Arabidopsis thaliana: one gene and its partners. The protein of the gene in region 1 binds, or shares a complex with, the protein of each later gene. Each region holds a gene or a part of one and is shown in the gene's direction. Other genes may lie near its edges.

Region 1 (3,565 bases):
GAGCAACAACATTCCCGTTTACAACAATACATGCACATCCATCTGCACTTGGTTACAAATGAACAAATCTCACTCAAAAAAGTAGATATGATTTACTCAAAAATGATACTTTCAATAATTTTAAGGGTTGTCAAACATACCGTAGTATAAGCGGCTACCATCGCATCCTTGTTGATTACTGTACATATACACCCCACCACGAGCATGAGTAGCCCCCATAAAAGCATTCAGACGAATATCTAGTTTCCTAAGTTGGTGATGACTCCCACTTGCATTCATAAATACTTCAACACCATTCAATGCGAGCTCGGCATGAGGAGGAAGTGGACTAAACAGTTCCTCACAGACTTCAGCTGCAACAGCCCTGATAAGGAAATATAACTGATACAGTTAAGCAGACAAAATCATTGACAGTGTTGAAATGGAAGCATTTATCCAAACTCACGTGTCGATAAACTGGATGTAACCATAACCAAAAGGGACTGATTTCTGCTCCAAAGCCTCTGAAATTTCAATGGGGAGCTGAAATTCCTCTAGCTCTTCTCTCTGCTTCCAAGCTGTGAACCACCGTAGCTCCCTATAGTTTCCATCGTTTGCGAGCCACATTTTCGGTCGAATCATGATGATTCTTCTGTTCATACAGAGAACCTGGCAGTTATAACGCTCTGCTCCTTTAATCACAGGCATTCCTATGCTGCACAAAATATCATCCGTCCAATCACCAAGCAGCAATTCCTTCAAACACTCCCACCTGAAAGAAGATATTCACATGAACATAAGAAGAAACGGTTAAACATGATTCCGATAACTAAATTCAGAAGAAAAAGAAATTAATTCCATCATCTAAAGTGATAGTACCAAGTCATTCATGCCATTCATCATCGAAATAGAAAACTAAAAATAGAAGCTTACGCATGAGTGACAGTGTCGAGTTCCAAGAAGTGATCCTCGCAACCATAGCCAGTGACCTCGAGCTCGGGTCCAAGCCTGATAACAGCACCAGCAGCCTTTGCCTCAGCGATCGAAGCCTTGATGTTCTTCATGTTGCTCTCGAAATCCATGGCCCATTGGTTCAAGTTACACGTAGCAACCTTCAACAGCCTCATCTTCGTCGCCTAAAGAGAAAGACAAGTAAATTTACTGTACATCAAGTAGTGTAAAAAATCTGACTTATCTAAGGCACAAACTTGTTCATGAGAACAGAAGCTGGTTAAATTAGTTAAAGGAACAAACTTTGTATTACTTTGCTAATACTAACAATTCAAATTCAATTTTAACAGCCATAATACACAATATCTGTAACGAAGAACTCGTCAACGCAACACTATTCGATGTGAATCAATTGCCAAAAGAAGAGAAGGAAGAATTGGAGCTTACGTGAATGTGCAAAGAAACCAAGTATCAAAGTCGTGAAATTCGGAGATCGTGAAAATTGAAAACTATGGGAGTTTGTATTTCTTTCAGATGTGAAATTCACAGACTCCAAGTGATTGTGCAGTGCTCGTGCAGAACAGATTGTGACCGACCAAGAAGAACATTCGGTTTGAGAGGAAGAAGAAGAAGAAGAGATTGATACTGAAACGACGGCGTTTTACGATTGTAAATTACAAACAAAACCTTAACTGAGAACAACTTCGTTTTATCATGACACGACATCATTTTTTTTTTTTTTTGGTCAAAACACGACATCGTTTAAGTTCCCACTTTTGTCTCTTCTTCGTTCTTTTAAGTTTTAATAGACGACGACGGCGACGAGAAGGAGAATTAGCGAGATCGGAAGGAGAAAAAATGGATCAATTCTCAGGAGGAGGAGGTAATTGGTCGATGATCCCAAACGTGCAGGCGCAAGGTAACTTCGGTACACCGACGAATCATGACCAGCAACTATTCCTCCAGCAACAACAATTACAACAACAACAACAACAACAACAACAACAACAGTTTCATCTTCAACAACAACAACAGACGCAGCAGCAACAACAACAATTCCAGCCACAACAACAACAAGAGATGCAACAATATCAGCAATTCCAACAACAGCAACACTTCATCCAACAACAGCAATTCCAACAACAACAACGGTTGTTACAATCTCCTCCTCTTCAGCCACAGTCGTTACAATCACCTCCGCCGCAACAGACGATGGTTCACACGCCTCAATCTATGATGCATACACCGCAGCAACAACAACAGTTGGTTCAAACTCCGGTGCAGACTCCTCAACAGCATCAGTCTTTAGCTTCTCATTTCCATCTCTATCCGGTAAGAGAAACAAAGAAAATTGATGAAATTGGAATCGTTGGGGGTTCTAATTTCGTGTTAATGACGCAGATGGTGGAGAAATTAGCTGATGTGATCGAAAATGGAACACGAGATCAGAATTCTGACGCCCTGGTTTGTTAAAAATCAAGTCTTTTAAAGTGGTTTTGAGATTTCTAGGGTTTCTTATTGGATGATGTTGAAATTGTGGGATTTGCAGGTGAATGAATTGAATAGCCATTTCGACAAGTGTCAACAGTTGCTGAATTCGATTTCAGGATCACTAGGATCTAAAACTATGGTAACATTTTGGATCTCTGTATTGGTTCTGTTTAATCTTTTGTTTCTTATGGATCTCTCTCTCTCTCTGTGTTTTATAGACTGTTGATGGCCAAAAGAGAAATGTTGAAGAAAGTGAGCAATTGCTTCAACAGAGAAGGTTAGCTAGATTGTTAGTATCATGTTTTATCTGATCAGATTGTGATCGTGCTCTTACTCTTTTGTTGTTAAATGTCTTCTGGTCAGGGATTTGATTGTGGAGTATAGGAAATCTATTGAAGAGATTGTGACAATGGAGCATTAGTTTCTCATATTTTGATTCAGCAACTGTTTAGCTACTTAAGACCAATAATTGTTATCAATAAACCAATCTTGATTCACATAATAAAGAGAATGTGGTTTTCTTCAAGAAAATTCATTCTTCGGATTACAAATAGATCACAATGCATAATGTGTTTTGTCTGCATCAAACCAAACCAAAATCTTTGTATGTGGGACATGCAACAGAAAGCTCAACCCAAAAACGATATAAGCCCAGGTAGTTGTTGAACATAGTGAGTGGTTTTGTGATTTAGATTCAGAACAGAGTAGAAAAAGCATTGTAGCGACCATGGAAAATTCAACCATTATTCCACAATGATCCTCCAAATATAAAACAAAACACCATTGAAGCCACATCTATTAGTCTTTTAAAAAGAAATAAAAACACCGACTTCTAATCTATCCCTACTCACTATTTTGAAATCATGATAATAGTCTTAAACAGGTAAAAAAAAAACCCAATAAAACACTCACGTAAGCTTCATATTCTCTAGATAGTTTGGAACAGCATGAAACAAAACCCGTTTAGAACCTTGAGATTCTGGAACTTCAACTCTTACTCTTACCACAATGTTCTCCTCGAGATTGTAGTAATAAAGGTAAAAAGGAACTTGTGGATCATAGTGATTTGGGCAGAATACAGCTTCACCTTTACTAGTAACTAAAAAGTTTACATCAATTCCATTGAACTCCGGCCATTGAAGGG
Region 2 (7,800 bases), about 15 Mb from region 1:
GATAAATATGTCTAATGTATCTATTGGTTTGACTTATCAAACACCATTTCTCGTTTCTCCAGAATCAACAAGGAAAAAAAAGACATTGTTTGGTGAAAAGTAAAAAAACAAACTAGTTGTTTTCTCGTTTCGAAAACTTAAAACTATGTTTCACTGGACTGAAATATTGAGCAGTTGATACGCACCAACTCTTTCAAACATTGGCGGCTAAAGATATTGCAGAAAACATCAACATATTACACATTTACACATAGACAACCTCTGTCATAAGAAAAGTTTCTCTTTTGACTTATAGGACATGTACACTTGACAAGTTAGGTGAGTTTGATTGTTTCTTAGGTAATGATACTGAAATTTACATTTGTTAAATATGTATAAAACCTTCAACCGGTTTTGTGTTTTGTTTGATGAATATTATGTGATGATTATTCTAAAATCCCCTATAATAAAAAAGTTATAAAAAAAAAAAAATTTTTAGTCTGATTATATTTATATCATAGTTCATTAACAAAACAGTTAAAATAATTGAATTAAGAAAGGACACAAATGTATTTCAAAATTAATTGAAAATCGTCTTTATTTGCTTTTATTTTTAAAATCAGATTATTAAGGATTTTATTCCTTAACTATCTACATATACATTTTTGCAGTCATTTTAGCAAATAAATCTTAGAGTTGGACTTATTTACAACCCAATGCCATTAACATTAAATATTTTCCAAAATAATTAATTTTACTTTAAATTTTTAATTTAAATTGTCAATCACATTATCAATCAAATTTAATCCAAACAAACTTCACATCAATCCCTTAAAATTAGCATAAACGTATTTTATTAACTATATTTTAAAACAATGTTTTTTGTTTAAATAAATATTATTCTTACTAAACGTTTTTTGTTTAAATAAACAAATCATGTATTTGAACTTATTTACAATGTCATACTACTGACATTAATTATTTAGGCATGAAAATATTTATTTAAGGATTTAAATCTTCTAAATTCTTGCTTTTAGAGTTATTATATCATTACCTAAAAGGCAAAAAATATTAATTTTTTAAATATTATTATTTGTATATTTAAACTTCATAAAACATTATCAATATTTGAATTTATAAAAAGTTTAATTTATCAAAAAAATTAACATCATTATATAATATATAGAGTTTTAAAAAATCTCAAAAAAAAATTCGTCATATTTTGTGATTCGAAATTTTAAGAATGAACATATATTAACCAATTGGCGAAAAATGTGTGGGTTCAATGTCACGCAACGACTAAAATATTTTGACAATGATTCATAAACATATTATAAATAAGATCAACATTAATAAAATAAATAGTTTTTTTTTTGGACGGGTTTGGCAGGACATGTTTGGTAGGACGGATTTGGCAGGACGTTACTTAGTAACAATGGTAAACTATAAAATAATTTACAAATTTTATATATATTAATTTTTAAAAATGAATTGTCTCCGCGGTGTATCGCGGGTTAAAATCTAGTAAGGTTTATTTTTCCAACCTATAAAATTATTAATAAAAAATGCTGTTTTGTTAAAAAAAACGTAAACAACATATGTGACTTAATGTACTTTTATTATATCTAATTTTATTATCACTTTATAATCACTTTTCTAAAACGTTTTCTAAAATGAAACGAAAAATATATAATTTATTTAAAATTGAAAAATAGTGGTCATATTATCTAGTTAACAAATTTCTAATACATTTTGCACCAATGCTACCATATTTGAACTGGGAAAACTATACAATTATACATGTGGTAATTAATACTAGATTTTTTTGTTTATTTTGAAAAAAAAAAAAACTTGTTATAAGCGAACTGGTAGGCTCGATTATGATTTACGACGCGAACAAGTTTCCTCTGTCTCTTTACCTAGAAGATCCTATATTCTTCATTCGTTTTTCGATCAAGCTAAACCCTAAATCCAGCTCCAATTTCCCCTTTTTCTCCTCTGTTTTCCTAATATCAAGCCCTAATCGTTGTACCAACCTTGACTCCGTCAAACGCCAAATCTCCTTGATTGGCTCTGAATTTGAGGTGAAATGTTCGAATCTCGTTTTTTTTTCTGTTGTTCTTAAGCCTTGCTTTTTAGAGTTTTCTCTTTTGATCGGGATTCCAAAGAAGATAAAGTATCTCCCTTTGTAGTTGGGTCTGGTTTATTACAATTACGAGAATAGATGAACTTTGTTGATGTAATAAAGTTTGCTTATTTTGAGTTCCTGGATTCTCGTTCCGGTGGGATTGGCTATTTGATGTTTTGAGTTTATTGCTTTTTGCTACCAACATTAGAAAGAATGAACATTTTGGCTGATCAATAAGAAATTCTGAGTGTTAATCTAATCCATGTTGTGTGGTCATTTGTTTCCTGTTGATTTGGGATAATCAGTTGTTATATTGTCATGTTTTGGTTTCTCTGTATACTTACTATTGATACTTTGCTCTTCATGGCTTGTAAACACAGAAAACTTGATGGATAATAACAATTGGAGGCCTTCTCTTCCAAACGGAGAGCCTGCCATGGATACAGGTGACTGGAGAACGCAATTGCCACCTGATTCTCGTCAGAAGATCGTCAACAAGATGTAAGTCACTCTAGCGGCGTTGTTTTGTCTATGCCAGTCAAATACTACAGAAATAGAAGGTTATTATGTTCCTTGACCAATAGTTAGTTTGTTTGTTTTACTTATTTGCTTGCCACTTGCGCAGAATGGAAACACTAAAGAAGCACCTTCCATTTTCCGGACCAGAGGGAATTAACGAGCTCAGGAGAATTGCAGCTAGATTCGAGGAGAAAATTTTCAGCGGTGCTCTTAACCAGGTTATTATGAACATATATTCTTGTTTCGTTAGTATGGTAAATATAGAGATTTGTGAGGCAATGGACTCCACAACATGGAAAAGAACTGACTTTCGGTATCTGTAAAGCTAAGCCACAATATGTTGGGTATGAAATCCATGTATACCTTCCTGATACTCTTTTATATCGCCTTTCAGACTGATTACCTTCGGAAAATATCAATGAAGATGCTGACAATGGAGACTAAATCACAAAATGCAGCTGGTTCTTCCGCAGCTATCCCTGCCGCTAATAATGGCACATCCATAGATTCGAGTAATCACGATTCTCAAGCATGAATTGCTTAAGTCTGTTTATCTGGTTTTATGGCTAATTGTTCCTCTTATTTGATGCTGTTTAACCTTTCCTTGAATAGTACCCACCAATCAAGGCCAACTTCTTCCAGGATCGTTATCAACCAATCAATCTCAAGCACCTCAGCCGTTGCTGTCCCAAACCATGCAGAATAATACTGCCTCTGGAATGACGGGTTCTACTGCTTTACCATCTTCCATGCCACCTGTTTCTTCCATAACCAATAATAACACCACAAGCGTTGTGAACCAGAATGCCAATATGCAAAATGTAGCTGGAATGTTGCAAGATTCATCTGGGCAGCATGGCCTTTCCTCGAACATGTTTTCAGGACCCCAAAGGCAGATGCTGGGTAGGCCACATGCTATGTCTTCACAGCAACAACAGCAGCCATATCTTTACCAGCAGCAGCTACAGCAGCAACTTCTCAAGCAGAACTTCCAGTCAGGGAATGTTCCCAATCCCAATTCGCTTTTGCCATCACACATTCAACAACAGCAGCAAAATGTGCTGCAGCCTAATCAACTGCATTCATCTCAACAACCTGGTGTTCCAACATCTGCGACTCAGCCCTCCACTGTGAACTCAGCTCCTCTCCAAGGTCTCCACACCAATCAGCAATCAAGTCCGCAATTGTCTTCTCAGCAGACGACACAATCTATGCTTCGTCAGCATCAATCGTCGATGCTAAGGCAACATCCGCAATCACAACAAGCCTCTGGTATCCATCAGCAGCAATCTTCATTGCCGCAACAATCAATTTCTCCTCTACAGCAGCAGCCTACACAATTAATGCGGCAACAAGCTGCAAATAGCTCAGGCATCCAACAGAAGCAGATGATGGGGCAGCATGTTGTTGGGGATATGCAGCAGCAACATCAGCAAAGGTTACTGAACCAACAAAATAATGTTATGAACATACAACAGCAGCAGTCGCAGCAGCAACCACTGCAGCAGCCACAGCAACAGCAGAAACAGCAGCCACCGGCCCAGCAGCAGTTGATGTCTCAACAAAACAGCCTCCAGGCAACGCATCAGAACCCACTGGGCACTCAAAGCAATGTTGCAGGATTGCAGCAACCACAACAACAGATGCTCAATTCCCAGGTTGGCAATTCGAGTTTGCAGAATAACCAGCACTCGGTGCACATGTTATCACAACCAACGGTTGGGCTGCAACGAACACATCAGGCTGGCCATGGCTTGTATTCTTCTCAGGGACAACAGTCACAAAATCAGCCATCACAACAGCAGATGATGCCACAGCTTCAATCGCATCATCAGCAGCTGGGTTTGCAACAACAACCTAATCTGCTACAACAGGATGTGCAACAAAGGCTACAAGCTTCAGGCCAAGTCACTGGTTCCCTGCTTCCACCTCAAAATGTTGTGGACCAACAGAGACAACTATATCAATCCCAAAGAACCCTTCCGGAGATGCCATCATGTATGCTTTTGATCCTTTTAATACTTTAGGTTCTGATATTTTCCATAATCTCTCAGCAGGATATGATGCTGAACATATTTTCGTTTTTATAATTCTTAGCATCGCTGGATTCGACAGCACAGACGGAAAGTGCAAATGGAGGTGATTGGCAAGAGGAGGTTTACCAAAAGGTAGTTCTCTCTTTTTGTGTTTGCTATATATCTTTACCAATTATGGCTACACTTATTAAATCTTCAAGTGATAGATATCATTGTAATGAGTAATCATATGACCATATTGCTTGTCTTTGTAGATCAAATCTATGAAAGAGACTTACTTACCAGATCTGAATGAAATCTACCAGAGAGTTGCAGCAAAGTTGCAGCAAGTAAGTTACAATTTTCTTTTCTTTTTTATACTAGGAGAATCGTTTGTACGTCTATGTCCTCTGGAACAGTAGTGAGTACCTTCTGAGAAGCTTTATGAATTCAATGCAAGTTCGGTTCGTTATTGCATAAGAACGTCATCAACTTTGGAGTCTTGTTACCCATTTAACAAAGAAAAAGAAAAAGAATCTTGAGACTCGTATTCTTACAGTTTACTAGAAAATCAACCTGCTGATATTTATGTTCCTTCCCAAACCTACAGAAGTTGTAGCTTGCATCTATGTATTTGTTTCTTTTTTATTTAGTAAGTTATTTTTGTATCTGGAGCAGGATTCTATGCCACAGCAACAAAGATCAGATCAGCTTGAGAAACTGAGACAATTCAAAACAATGTTGGAGCGAATGATACAATTTCTATCTGTTTCAAAGAGCAACATCATGCCCGCATTAAAAGATAAGGTGGCTTATTATGAGAAGCAGATTATAGGTTTCTTAAATATGCACAGGCCGAGGAAGCCAGTACAGCAAGGGCAGCTTCCGCAATCTCAGATGCAGCCTATGCAGCAACCACAATCTCAGACAGTTCAAGATCAATCCCATGATAACCAAACAAATCCGCAGATGCAATCAATGAGCATGCAGGGTGCTGGGCCAAGGGCACAACAGAGTAGTATGACAAATATGCAGAGCAATGTTCTATCATCTCGTCCTGGAGTTTCAGCTCCACAGCAGAACATTCCCAGTTCCATACCGGCTTCTAGTTTAGAATCAGGCCAAGGAAATACCTTGAACAATGGACAGCAGGTTGCCATGGGATCTATGCAACAAAATACTTCTCAACTAGTAAATAACAGTTCTGCCTCTGCTCAAAGTGGGTTGAGCACACTGCAGTCGAATGTGAATCAACCCCAGTTAAGTTCCAGTTTGCTTCAGCATCAGCACCTCAAGCAACAGCAAGATCAACAAATGCAGCTCAAACAGCAATTTCAACAGCGCCAGATGCAACAGCAACAGTTGCAAGCAAGACAGCAACAGCAACAGCAACAGTTGCAAGCAAGACAGCAAGCGGCACAATTACAGCAGATGAATGATATGAATGATTTAACATCGAGGCAGGGGATGAATGTCAGTCGTGGGATGTTTCAGCAACATTCTATGCAGGGTCAGCGTGCGAATTATCCTCTTCAACAGTTAAAACCAGGAGCTGTTTCGTCGCCTCAACTTCTGCAAGGTGCATCTCCTCAGATGTCACAACATTTGTCTCCTCAGGTTGACCAGAAAAATACTGTCAACAAGATGGGAACTCCATTGCAACCTGCAAATTCCCCTTTTGTTGTCCCATCTCCTTCTTCAACCCCCTTGGCTCCGTCCCCTATGCAAGTTGACTCTGAGAAACCTGGTTCTTCTTCGTTGTCAATGGGAAATATTGCACGCCAACAAGCAACCGGCATGCAAGGTGTAGTTCAGTCCCTAGCAATTGGCACTCCAGGGATCTCTGCCTCTCCTCTCCTTCAGGAGTTTACTAGTCCTGATGGGAATATTTTAAATTCTTCGACAATTACATCTGGAAAACCGAGTGCTACTGAGCTGCCTATTGAACGCCTTATTAGAGCCGTAAGTAAATTTCCAATTTTTAAGGGTATATCGCAGCAGGACGGTGATATTGCTGCAAACCCGTTTTGTAATATAATCATTGTTCTGCTTATGATGTATGCTTTGCTTTCAGGTGAAGTCCATCTCACCACAAGCCCTTTCTTCTGCAGTAAGTGACATCGGATCTGTTGTAAGCATGGTTGATCGGATAGCTGGTTCAGCACCAGGAAACGGTTCAAGAGCTTCCGTTGGTGAAGACTTGGTTGCAATGACTAAGTGCCGTCTCCAAGCAAGAAACTTCATGACCCAAGAGGGAATGATGGCGACTAAGAAAATGAAGCGTCACACAACCGCAATGCCACTAAGCGTTGCTTCACTGGGAGGAAGTGTTGGTGATAACTACAAGCAGTTTGCTGGTTCAGAAACATCCGATCTAGAATCTACTGCGACTTCGGATGGCAAGAAGGCAAGAACTGAGGTATGATACTCAGTTAGACTTCCCCTAGCTATATTTGAATATTGACACACACTCACACACACACACACACACGTAACAAAGAAAATTTGGAAGCACAAGGTTTCGATATTCTTTTTTTTTTGAAGACTCAATCTTGAACTGCAGACCGAGCATGCCCTTTTGGAGGAAATAAAGGAAATAAACCAGCGGCTGATAGATACAGTTGTTGAGATAAGTGATGATGAAGATGCTGCTGATCCTAGTGAGGTTGCAATATCAAGCATAGGGTGTGAAGGAACAACAGTTAGATTCTCGTTTATAGCTGTTTCTCTCAGCCCAGCCTTGAAGGCTCATCTCTCATCAACACAAATGGTAAACATGGTCATCTCGTTAACATTAACGTTTTGTGAAACAAAATATTTCATTTATCCTTTTTTATAATATATGCTTTGTGCTTCTATTACAGTCTCCTATTCAACCATTGCGTCTGCTGGTTCCTTGTAGCTACCCCAATGGCTCTCCATCTCTTCTAGATAAACTCCCGGTCGAAACCAGGTACAAGCAAATCCTTCAGTCTCAAGTAAATAGAACCATAGATTTTCCGTACCGAGTCGAGCAAACTTCTACGATACAGTTAAAATCTTCACAAGAATCATCTACTAGAAACCCTTTATTAGAAACTGCGTTATCTTCTTACCGTAACACGGTCTGGTTTCTTGAACAGCAAAGAAAACGAGGACCTGTCGTCCAAAGCTATGGCA
Region 3 (4,010 bases), about 15 Mb from region 1:
GAATCTTGTTAGTATATTCGTCATTTTCTTCTAATTCTGAAGTGCAATTACCCCTTTTTTGGGGTCTTGCTGAATGTTGTATTTTGAGATTTGTTGTAATACGCATTTTGAGATCGTTCAGAAGAGTTTCAACTTCTTTACTCTGTTCAGTTGTCACAATAAAATGGCTGTTTGAAACATTTTTTTTTTTTTGTATATACCAAATGGCTAACTTTTTTATTGTAATTATTGATGATTTATCATCATAAAGTCATCAAGTTAGAAGATACAAGGAGTGATCAGTGTGGTGTGTAATTGTCTATACAAATTAGTACATGAACGAGATTTATTTAGTTAATGACTATAATTAACATTTTGGTCACACAAATAGCCGGAGATTTCACTGGTTTTTCTACAAGTCTCTTTACTCGATTTTTAGCCTTTACTGTGTGAAATAGAAAACTTAAAAAAACTCCAAAAAACTTATTATTTGCAGAAGAGACTTGGGCCTGATAAGTACTTATTATTGGGTCATTGGGCCTCGCTTAATAACCTGATATTGTAATGTTGTTGAAGCCTTTTAATCCTTGTATTTAGCTCTCTCTTGTTTGTTTCTCTATAAAATCAAAAGATGATTAAAACAAAAACAATCATCTCTAATTCTTCTCCTTAACCCTAATTGCTACGTTTCACTTATTAAAAGAAAGATTGAAACGTAAGAACGTTTGGAGAAAAACCAAATCCAAACGGACCGTTCTAAGTCTCGGAGATTCATCGCCAAAAGGTCCTTATTTTGAGTCACCTATCTCATTACGTGTCATAGTAAACCCATGGATTCGTCGATAGCAAAACCTTTTGCATAAGAAACTAGTTTTATGGATTGATGATACTTGTGTACCTCTAATTTTAGGTTTTTGTATTTTTTTTTACACAGTTTCTGATGATGAATGAATCTCGCTTTTTAATTATTTTTCTTGGCTAGCAACACTAGATAGTAGATACAATGGAAAATGAAAATGGAGATGATTGGCGGGAGGAGGTTTTCCAAAAGGTAACTCATAAGTCATAATCATCATAATAATAAAACTCCTTTCTTAAATCATCATCGGGATCATTCATTGTGGTGTGTAATTGTTTATACAGCTTAGATCCATGAGAGAGCGTTATCTACCACATGTGACTGATGTTTACCAGAGACTTGCAGACAAGTTGAACCATGTAAGATGTAGTTACTGTCAACTATTAACTCTCTGCCTTAAGTTGTATAGATGTAGTAATACTAGTTTGTTTGTTTTTTTCAGGAGGAATCGCTTCCGCAGCAACAAAGATCAAAGCACTTTGACAAGTTCCAAAGCATGAAGACAAACATAGAGCAATTGATCCAAGTCCTATCTCTTCGAAAGAGAAATATCATGCCGATATTAAAGGATTGTAGATGGGACTATTATGAGAAACGGATTATATATTTCTTAATTACGCTAAGAACCGGCTGGGAAGACAGTACAGCAAAGGCAGCTTCAAGATCAGTCTCATAATAATCAAGGAAATGCATTGTAGATATTTTGTCTCTCTCTCTTTTTATGTTGGTCTTCTCTCTTCTGATGTGTTTTGAACTCTCATCCTCAATGTTGTTGACTCCGGTGCTCTGTTTCTACCAGGCTCCTCCTATCAAGTTATGATCGAAAAATGAATAAAGACCCTTTTTTTTTTTGTAAATGTTAATTTCTCGGAGATTAGGTGTGTTTTTGGTGGGTGCTTTAGTGTTCCGTCAACTAGTAGGGTAGGGTTTGGTTTCTTATTGAATTCATGCAGAATTCTTTTACCCATCAACAGAGATTAAAGCAATTTGAGAGATTGAAGGCAATGTTGGAGCGAAGAATGATACAATTCCTATCTGTTTCAAAGAAGCAATGTCATGCCTTACTTGAAAGATTACTACGACAACCAGATTATTCCTTTGTTACTAGCAGGATCATCTCTCTGTTACTAGATGATATCACCATGATGAGTAATCGTATGTATGATTATATTGCTTTTCTTTGTAGATCAAATCCATCAAAGAGACCTCAATGAAATCTACCAGAGAGTAGCAGCCAAGTTGCAGCAAGTAAGTTACAGTTTTCATTCTTCCTAGGAAGTTAGTTTGCACGTGTACGTCCTCTGGAACAGTACTAAGTACTTTATGAAGAGTTTTACAAATTCAATGCAAGATCAGTTCATTGTTACAAATGAAAGTCCTACAACTTAGGATTCTTGTTACCCATTTAACAAAGTAAAAGGTTCGTCAGACTCTTATACTTACAGATAGTTCACTAGAAGTTAACCTTCTGACAGATATATTCCTTCCCAAACCTACAGAGGTTGTAAACTTTTAACGTTCATCTATATGTTTGTTTCTTTTCTACTGAATACGTTCCGTTTTCTCTCTAGGAGGATTCTCTTTCGCATCAGAAACAAAGATCAGATCAGTTTGAGAAATTGAAACGAGGCAAGACAGTGTTGGAGGGAATGCTACGTTTCCTATCTCTTTCAAAGAGCAATATCAAACCTGACTTGAAGGATAGTATGGATTATCGCAAGAACAACATTATGAATTTCTTAAATATGCAGAGTCTGAGGAAGACAGTACAGAAACTGCAGCTTACGAAATCTGAGATTCAGCCTATGCAGCAACCACTATCTCAGACAGTTCAAGATCAGTCTCATGATGACCAAACAACTCTGCAGATGCAATCAATGAGCATGCAGGGTGCTGGGTCAAGGGTACAACAGATCAGGCAAGGTGTACTTCAATCCCTTGAAATTGGCACTCCAGGGATCTCTGCCTCTCCTCTCCTTCCGGAGCTTACCAGTCCTGATGGAAATATTATAAATCCTTTGACAAGTACTTGTGGAAAATCGAGTGCTACTGAGCTGCCTATTGAACGCCTTATTAGAGCCGTAAGTAACGTTACTAATTTTGAAGGGTATATTGCAACAGGGCAGTGTCATTGCTGCCATCCCTCATTTGCCGTGGAAACATTGTTCTGATCTTGATGTTTGCTTTCTGTTGTTTTCAGATGAAATCCATCTCACCACAAGCGCTTTCGTCTGCAGTATGTGATATTAGATCTGTTGTAAGCATGGTTGATAGGATTGCTGGTTCAGTACCAGGCAAAGGTTCAAGAGCTTCATTTGGTGTGGACTTGGTTGCAATGACTAAGTGCCATCTCCAAGAAAGAAACTTCATGACGCAAGATGGCGACCATGAAAAGGAAGCGTCAGACAACCCCAATGCCATCAAGTGTTGCTTCATTGGGAGGAAAGCGTTGGTAATAGCTACAAGCATTTTGCTGGTTTGGTAACATCAGATATGGAATCTACTGTGACTTGTGGTGGCAAGAAGCCAAGAACTGAGGTATGGTTTTCAGTTACACTTCCCTTAGGTATATCTGAAAATTGACACACACACAACAGATAAAATTTGGAAGCACAATGTTTTGTGTGCTCTAGTGTAGACTGTGTAGTGTCCTGAGCTCAAGATCTTTCCGATTACCTCAAGAGTAAGATCACTCCGGCAGGCTTAGCGTCATGGTTATGTGTGTAAACAGAGCATTTTTTGAGAAAAGAGTAAAAAGTGATAAAAGCTGTAAAGAAGTTTTGACTGGAACAGAGACTTAGGCCAAAAGCAAAGACTGGAGAGACAGACTCATTACAATGACCCCACACACTCACATACACACCTGACACCACCACTCAACTCTATTTTCCAATTGTTAACTAACAAAAATTAACTAGCCTAATCACATACAAAGACAAAATCAAGAAAACATGGTGGAAGAACCCTAAAACCTCATCTCTCACCATCAATTCTGATATAAAGAACGAAGAAGAAGCTGAAAGAGAAAACATAAAACAGAACTTAGAGATTTTTCTAAGTAGGTTTGAGATTCTGAAACATTGAATCCCATTTGATATCTTCAAAATAAGTATCTTGAGCGTAAAGTTTCTCATCCTTGAAACTGTAATCGAAAACCATGGGACTTGAGAAG
Region 4 (3,801 bases), on another chromosome or scaffold:
CCAACAGACCAACGGAATATTTTGAGAAACTTAGCTGAAAAAAAGGAAGTAAAACCAAAAACATATATAAGGAAACATTTTAAACCAACGAAATTGAATCAAGAGACAAAATTCAAAAGAAAATAAAAAACTATGGGAAAAATAAGACCTAAACTTCTCCTAAAAAATGTGAACGCCGGAAACACCAATAAGATCGGATAGATTTTACACCGAAGTCAAAACTAATAGTAAATCGACAGAGAGGAAAGCAAGAAGCCGCTGAAACCAGAGACATAAGTACAAACACCATCACACCTCACCCACCAGACCGAGATAGCAAAATGTACTAGGGACAAGGCATAAACCTTGAAGATCTACTAGAGATAATTAAAGCACTAGACACAATCAGTATCGATTCTACTTGGGTTAGCTGATTTTCGAGCCATAAACTATTTCGATTCTCAGCTTTCACCCCCGGACTTTTGGGCCCTTAAATTTCCACCATCAACTTTCATATTCCCAAAATTACATCATCTACTTTCGGATTCATGCTTAAACATACATTTCCAATTGAACCATTCATTTAACCGGGATTAACCACAAATCCGCGTTTACTGTACCGCGATTGCGATTAACCCGACTAATACCCAGACCCGTTAAGAAAACGACGTCGTTTTCATTTCGTTTAACTCATCAAAAAGAGAAAGAAAACGACGTCGTTTTCATTCTTCTTCTTCTGCAAAATCGATTTGGTCGATTAGGGTTCTTCATTCGACAATTTTATAAGAAAATGAGCACCAACAGCTACTACTCATCCGCTTCCAGTTCAGGATTTCGTGTCTGTCCTCCTGGTGTCCCCTCGAAATGTTGGTGTGGAGAAGAGATCATTACATTCACATCGAAAACAAAGGAGAATCCATACCGGAGATTCTACCGTTGTGCGATAGCAATGAAGGTACACATTTCGATTTTGTGATATATTTGATTGATTGAAGGAGTAAATGATTGGAAATTATGTTTTATAGAGAGAAAATGAAGAGCACTTGTTCAAATGGGTTGATGAAGCTCTCTTGGACGAAATTAAGATGGTAAATGAGAAGTGTAAGAGAGTTGTAGAGAATATTAGTGACCTCAGAATGAACGTGATGGCTAATATGGAGCTCCTTAATAAAAACGCTAAGCAGATGGAGGAAGAGCTGATTAAGAAGATGGAGGGTGAACTCTTGACCATGAAGGAGAATGTGGAAGAGCTAGGACATGTTATGGCAAAGTCAGCTTTGAAGACTGTAGGGGTTGCTGTTGTGATTGTTGCATCTATTGTATGGCTTTGGGGAAGAGTGTAGGTGTTGTTGAGGTTTTGGAGTGAAATTGTAGTATTGGATTAGTCTCTGTTATAAAATTGTCGAATGAAGAACCCTAATCGACCAAATCGATTTTGCAGAAGAAGAAGAATGAAAACGACGTCGTTTTCTTTCTCTTTTTGATGAGTTAAACGAAATGAAAACGACGTCGTTTTCTTAACGGGTCTGGGTATTAGTCAGGTTAATCGCAATCGCGGTACAGTAAACGCAGATTTGTGGTTAATCCCGGTTAAATGAATGGTTCAATTGGAAATGTATGTTTAAGCATGAATTCGAAAGTAGATGATGTAATTTTGAGGAATATGAAAGTTGATGGTGAAAATTTAAGGGCCCAAAAGTCCGGGGGTGAAAGCTGAGAATCGAAATAGTTTATGGCTCAAAAATCAGCCACCCAATTCTACTTCAGTGTTTTTTTTTTTAATTAGTTGTCAATTAATTAAAGCAGTAGGTTTAAAGAAACAACAGAAATCGTTCCTTACGAATTCTATGGAATTAGGGCCCAAAAATCCAAAGGAAAGGCCACCTTAAAAGCCCATTTTAAAAATCTTCGAGCCCAAACCCAAAACGCAGAACGAAGTTTATTAAGAACAACAAAACGCCCCAATTCGCAGCGATTATCTGTCGTTGCCACACCCAACAGACTCTGCGTCGCCGGAGAAATCTTGTCGACGGGTAAGTCTCTTCGTTAAAGCTTATGCTTCGTTAAATCGATTAGGTCAATTTTTTCCCTGAGGATTCGCCATTTTGATCCTCTCTGAAATCCAACTGGTTTTAAGTGATTTATGCTTTGGCACTAGTTTTGTTGAGAATCTTGTTTGATAAATTCAGGAATTGACCACCAATTTTGTGCCATTTGAATCTCCTAGATCCTCTCTGAACGTTATATCTTGCTTTTGAGTATATGTTAAAAGTCTAATATGTGATTGATTACTGTAAATTTTATACTTGTTCAAGGTCTTTTAAGGTTTTGGAAGATGGATATAATCTCACAGTTGCAAGAACAAGTGAATACGATTGCTGCTATCACTTTCAATGCTTTTGGGACACTGCAAAGGGATGCACCACCAGTCCAGCTTTCACCTAATTATCCTGAACCACCCGCTACAACTACGGTTACTGATGATGCTACGCCTTTTCCTGAGCAACCTAAGCAGCTCAGTGCTGGCTTAGTTAAGGCTGCTAAACAGTTTGATGCTTTGGTTGCTGCACTTCCTTTGTCAGAAGGTGGTGAAGGTGCTCAGCTCAAAAGAATCGCTGAACTCCAGGTCAAACAAGTCACACCGATATGTCGAGTTCTTGAATCCGATTACTTCTATTTGTCTAACCGCTTTGTCCTGTTTTTTCTTCAGGTGGAAAATGATCTTGTTGGTCAAGAACTCCAAAAGCAACTAGAGGCTGCAGGTAAAAAACGATCTTAGGTTTTCACTTCATTGTTGGTGTGTCTTATCTGTCTGTAACTGGAGCAGATTCATTATGCACTTCAAATTTCAATTTGTATACTTTCTTGTTGATACACGCACTATGGTTAGATGTTATCTTTAGTGGTTCTAGAATTTGGAATTTTTGTTTTCCCTTGCAACTGCCTCTGACGATTGAGCTGATGTTAATGGTGTGACCTTGTTTGTGACAGAGAAGGAGCTAAAGCAAGTACAAGAGCTGTTTGGACAAGCTGCTGACAATTGCCTGAACATGAAGAAACCTGAATGAAATGCTTGTTTACCTTTTGTCGAGCTGATTTAGAAACTATATGATTTGGTTCAGCAACAATTATCTTTTAGGTTCATAAGGAATATCTATTCTAAGTTGGTTCACCAAAAAATTGTTGTAGAAGCAATTACAAGAATGTTAGTTAGCTCACAACAACAGAACCATTATTTTAACCTTACACTTTTTTGACCTGTCTGATTACAATCTCAGAGAATCCACTTTATCATTTTCACAATTACAGGCCATGATTGACACATCATGTTTGATTCTCCGGGCAGTGTTGGTCAAATTACTATGATGGTCAAATTACTATGAACTCTGGTATCTGTCACATTCAATCCAAGTTGCTGAAAAGAAATGACCAGTCCATAAGTTGTGGTCCAAAACCGGATCTTGATTGTGTATTTGTACTCAAGCATGTGAAGATATCCTAACTCATCATCCTTCTTGCGCTCTCTCACAAGACTTGTATAGAGTCCAACAATCTTTTGTCTGCGTGATGAAGCTTTAGGATGAAAAGAAAACTTTAGCCAGTCCGATCAATATTATAAATTAACAATTGTATAAATTTACCAATATATATATTTATATAAATATTATATGTAAAATATTTAGTGAAATATGACTCTACTATTGTTTTTCTTTAATTTTTATTAATTTTTTGTAAAGTTCAATTCTAATACTTTTACTATGTGAAAAAAAAAAATTGTATTTTTTTTTTAAACTTAATAATTGTTTTCTACTTATAATCGGA

What was found.
Region 2: MED9 (region 1) and NRB4 share a complex: the UniProt entries of both Arabidopsis thaliana proteins name them as parts of the mediator complex.
Region 3: MED9 (region 1) and AT1G15770 share a complex: the UniProt entries of both Arabidopsis thaliana proteins name them as parts of the mediator complex.
Region 4: MED9 (region 1) and MED21 share a complex: the UniProt entries of both Arabidopsis thaliana proteins name them as parts of the mediator complex.

The regions. Positions count from the first base shown.
Region 1 is NC_003070.9:20,552,398-20,555,962, reverse strand, and holds MED9 (mediator of RNA polymerase II transcription subunit-like protein), read left to right. Parts: upstream 1-1,708; 5' UTR 1,709-1,788; coding exon 1,789-2,262; intron 2,263-2,331; coding exon 2,332-2,394; intron 2,395-2,479; coding exon 2,480-2,560; coding exon of another isoform or gene 2,561-2,639; coding exon 2,640-2,698; intron 2,699-2,784; coding exon 2,785-2,842; 3' UTR 2,843-3,058; downstream 3,059-3,565. Other genes in the region: AT1G55090 (carbon-nitrogen hydrolase family protein), read right to left, coding at 1-42, 141-364, 446-751, 913-1,106; AT1G55070 (F-box and associated interaction domains-containing protein), read right to left, coding at 3,330-3,565. UniProt on the Arabidopsis thaliana protein: Component of the Mediator complex, a coactivator involved in the regulated transcription of nearly all RNA polymerase II-dependent genes.
Region 2 is NC_003070.9:5,430,617-5,438,416, reverse strand, and holds the start of NRB4 (mediator of RNA polymerase II transcription subunit 15a-like protein), read left to right. Parts: upstream 1-1,798; 5' UTR 1,799-2,063; intron 2,064-2,064; exon of another isoform or gene 2,065-2,203; coding exon of another isoform or gene 2,204-2,261; intron 2,262-2,487; coding exon of another isoform or gene 2,488-2,495; coding exon 2,496-2,608; intron 2,609-2,732; coding exon 2,733-2,844; intron 2,845-3,020; coding exon 3,021-3,138; intron 3,139-3,238; coding exon 3,239-4,624; intron 4,625-4,723; coding exon 4,724-4,794; intron 4,795-4,916; coding exon 4,917-4,991; intron 4,992-5,319; coding exon 5,320-6,603; intron 6,604-6,715; coding exon 6,716-7,060; intron 7,061-7,204; coding exon 7,205-7,411; intron 7,412-7,505; coding exon 7,506-7,800. UniProt on the Arabidopsis thaliana protein: Component of the Mediator complex, a coactivator involved in the regulated transcription of nearly all RNA polymerase II-dependent genes.
Region 3 is NC_003070.9:5,426,205-5,430,214, reverse strand, and holds AT1G15770 (mediator of RNA polymerase II transcription subunit), read left to right. Parts: upstream 1-1,934; 5' UTR 1,935-1,999; coding exon 2,000-2,086; intron 2,087-2,409; coding exon 2,410-2,919; intron 2,920-3,038; coding exon 3,039-3,323; 3' UTR 3,324-3,507; downstream 3,508-4,010. Other genes in the region: AT1G15772 (mediator of RNA polymerase II transcription subunit), read left to right, coding at 983-1,030, 1,123-1,197, 1,281-1,514; AT1G15760 (Sterile alpha motif (SAM) domain-containing protein), read right to left, coding at 3,893-4,010. UniProt on the Arabidopsis thaliana protein: Component of the Mediator complex, a coactivator involved in the regulated transcription of nearly all RNA polymerase II-dependent genes.
Region 4 is NC_003075.7:2,430,351-2,434,151, forward strand, and holds MED21 (mediator 21), read left to right. Parts: upstream 1-1,901; 5' UTR 1,902-2,012; intron 2,013-2,294; 5' UTR 2,295-2,314; coding exon 2,315-2,605; intron 2,606-2,689; coding exon 2,690-2,741; intron 2,742-2,970; coding exon 2,971-3,047; 3' UTR 3,048-3,285; downstream 3,286-3,801. Other genes in the region: AT4G04775 (zinc ion binding protein), read left to right, coding at 770-934, 1,005-1,322. UniProt on the Arabidopsis thaliana protein: Component of the Mediator complex, a coactivator involved in the regulated transcription of nearly all RNA polymerase II-dependent genes.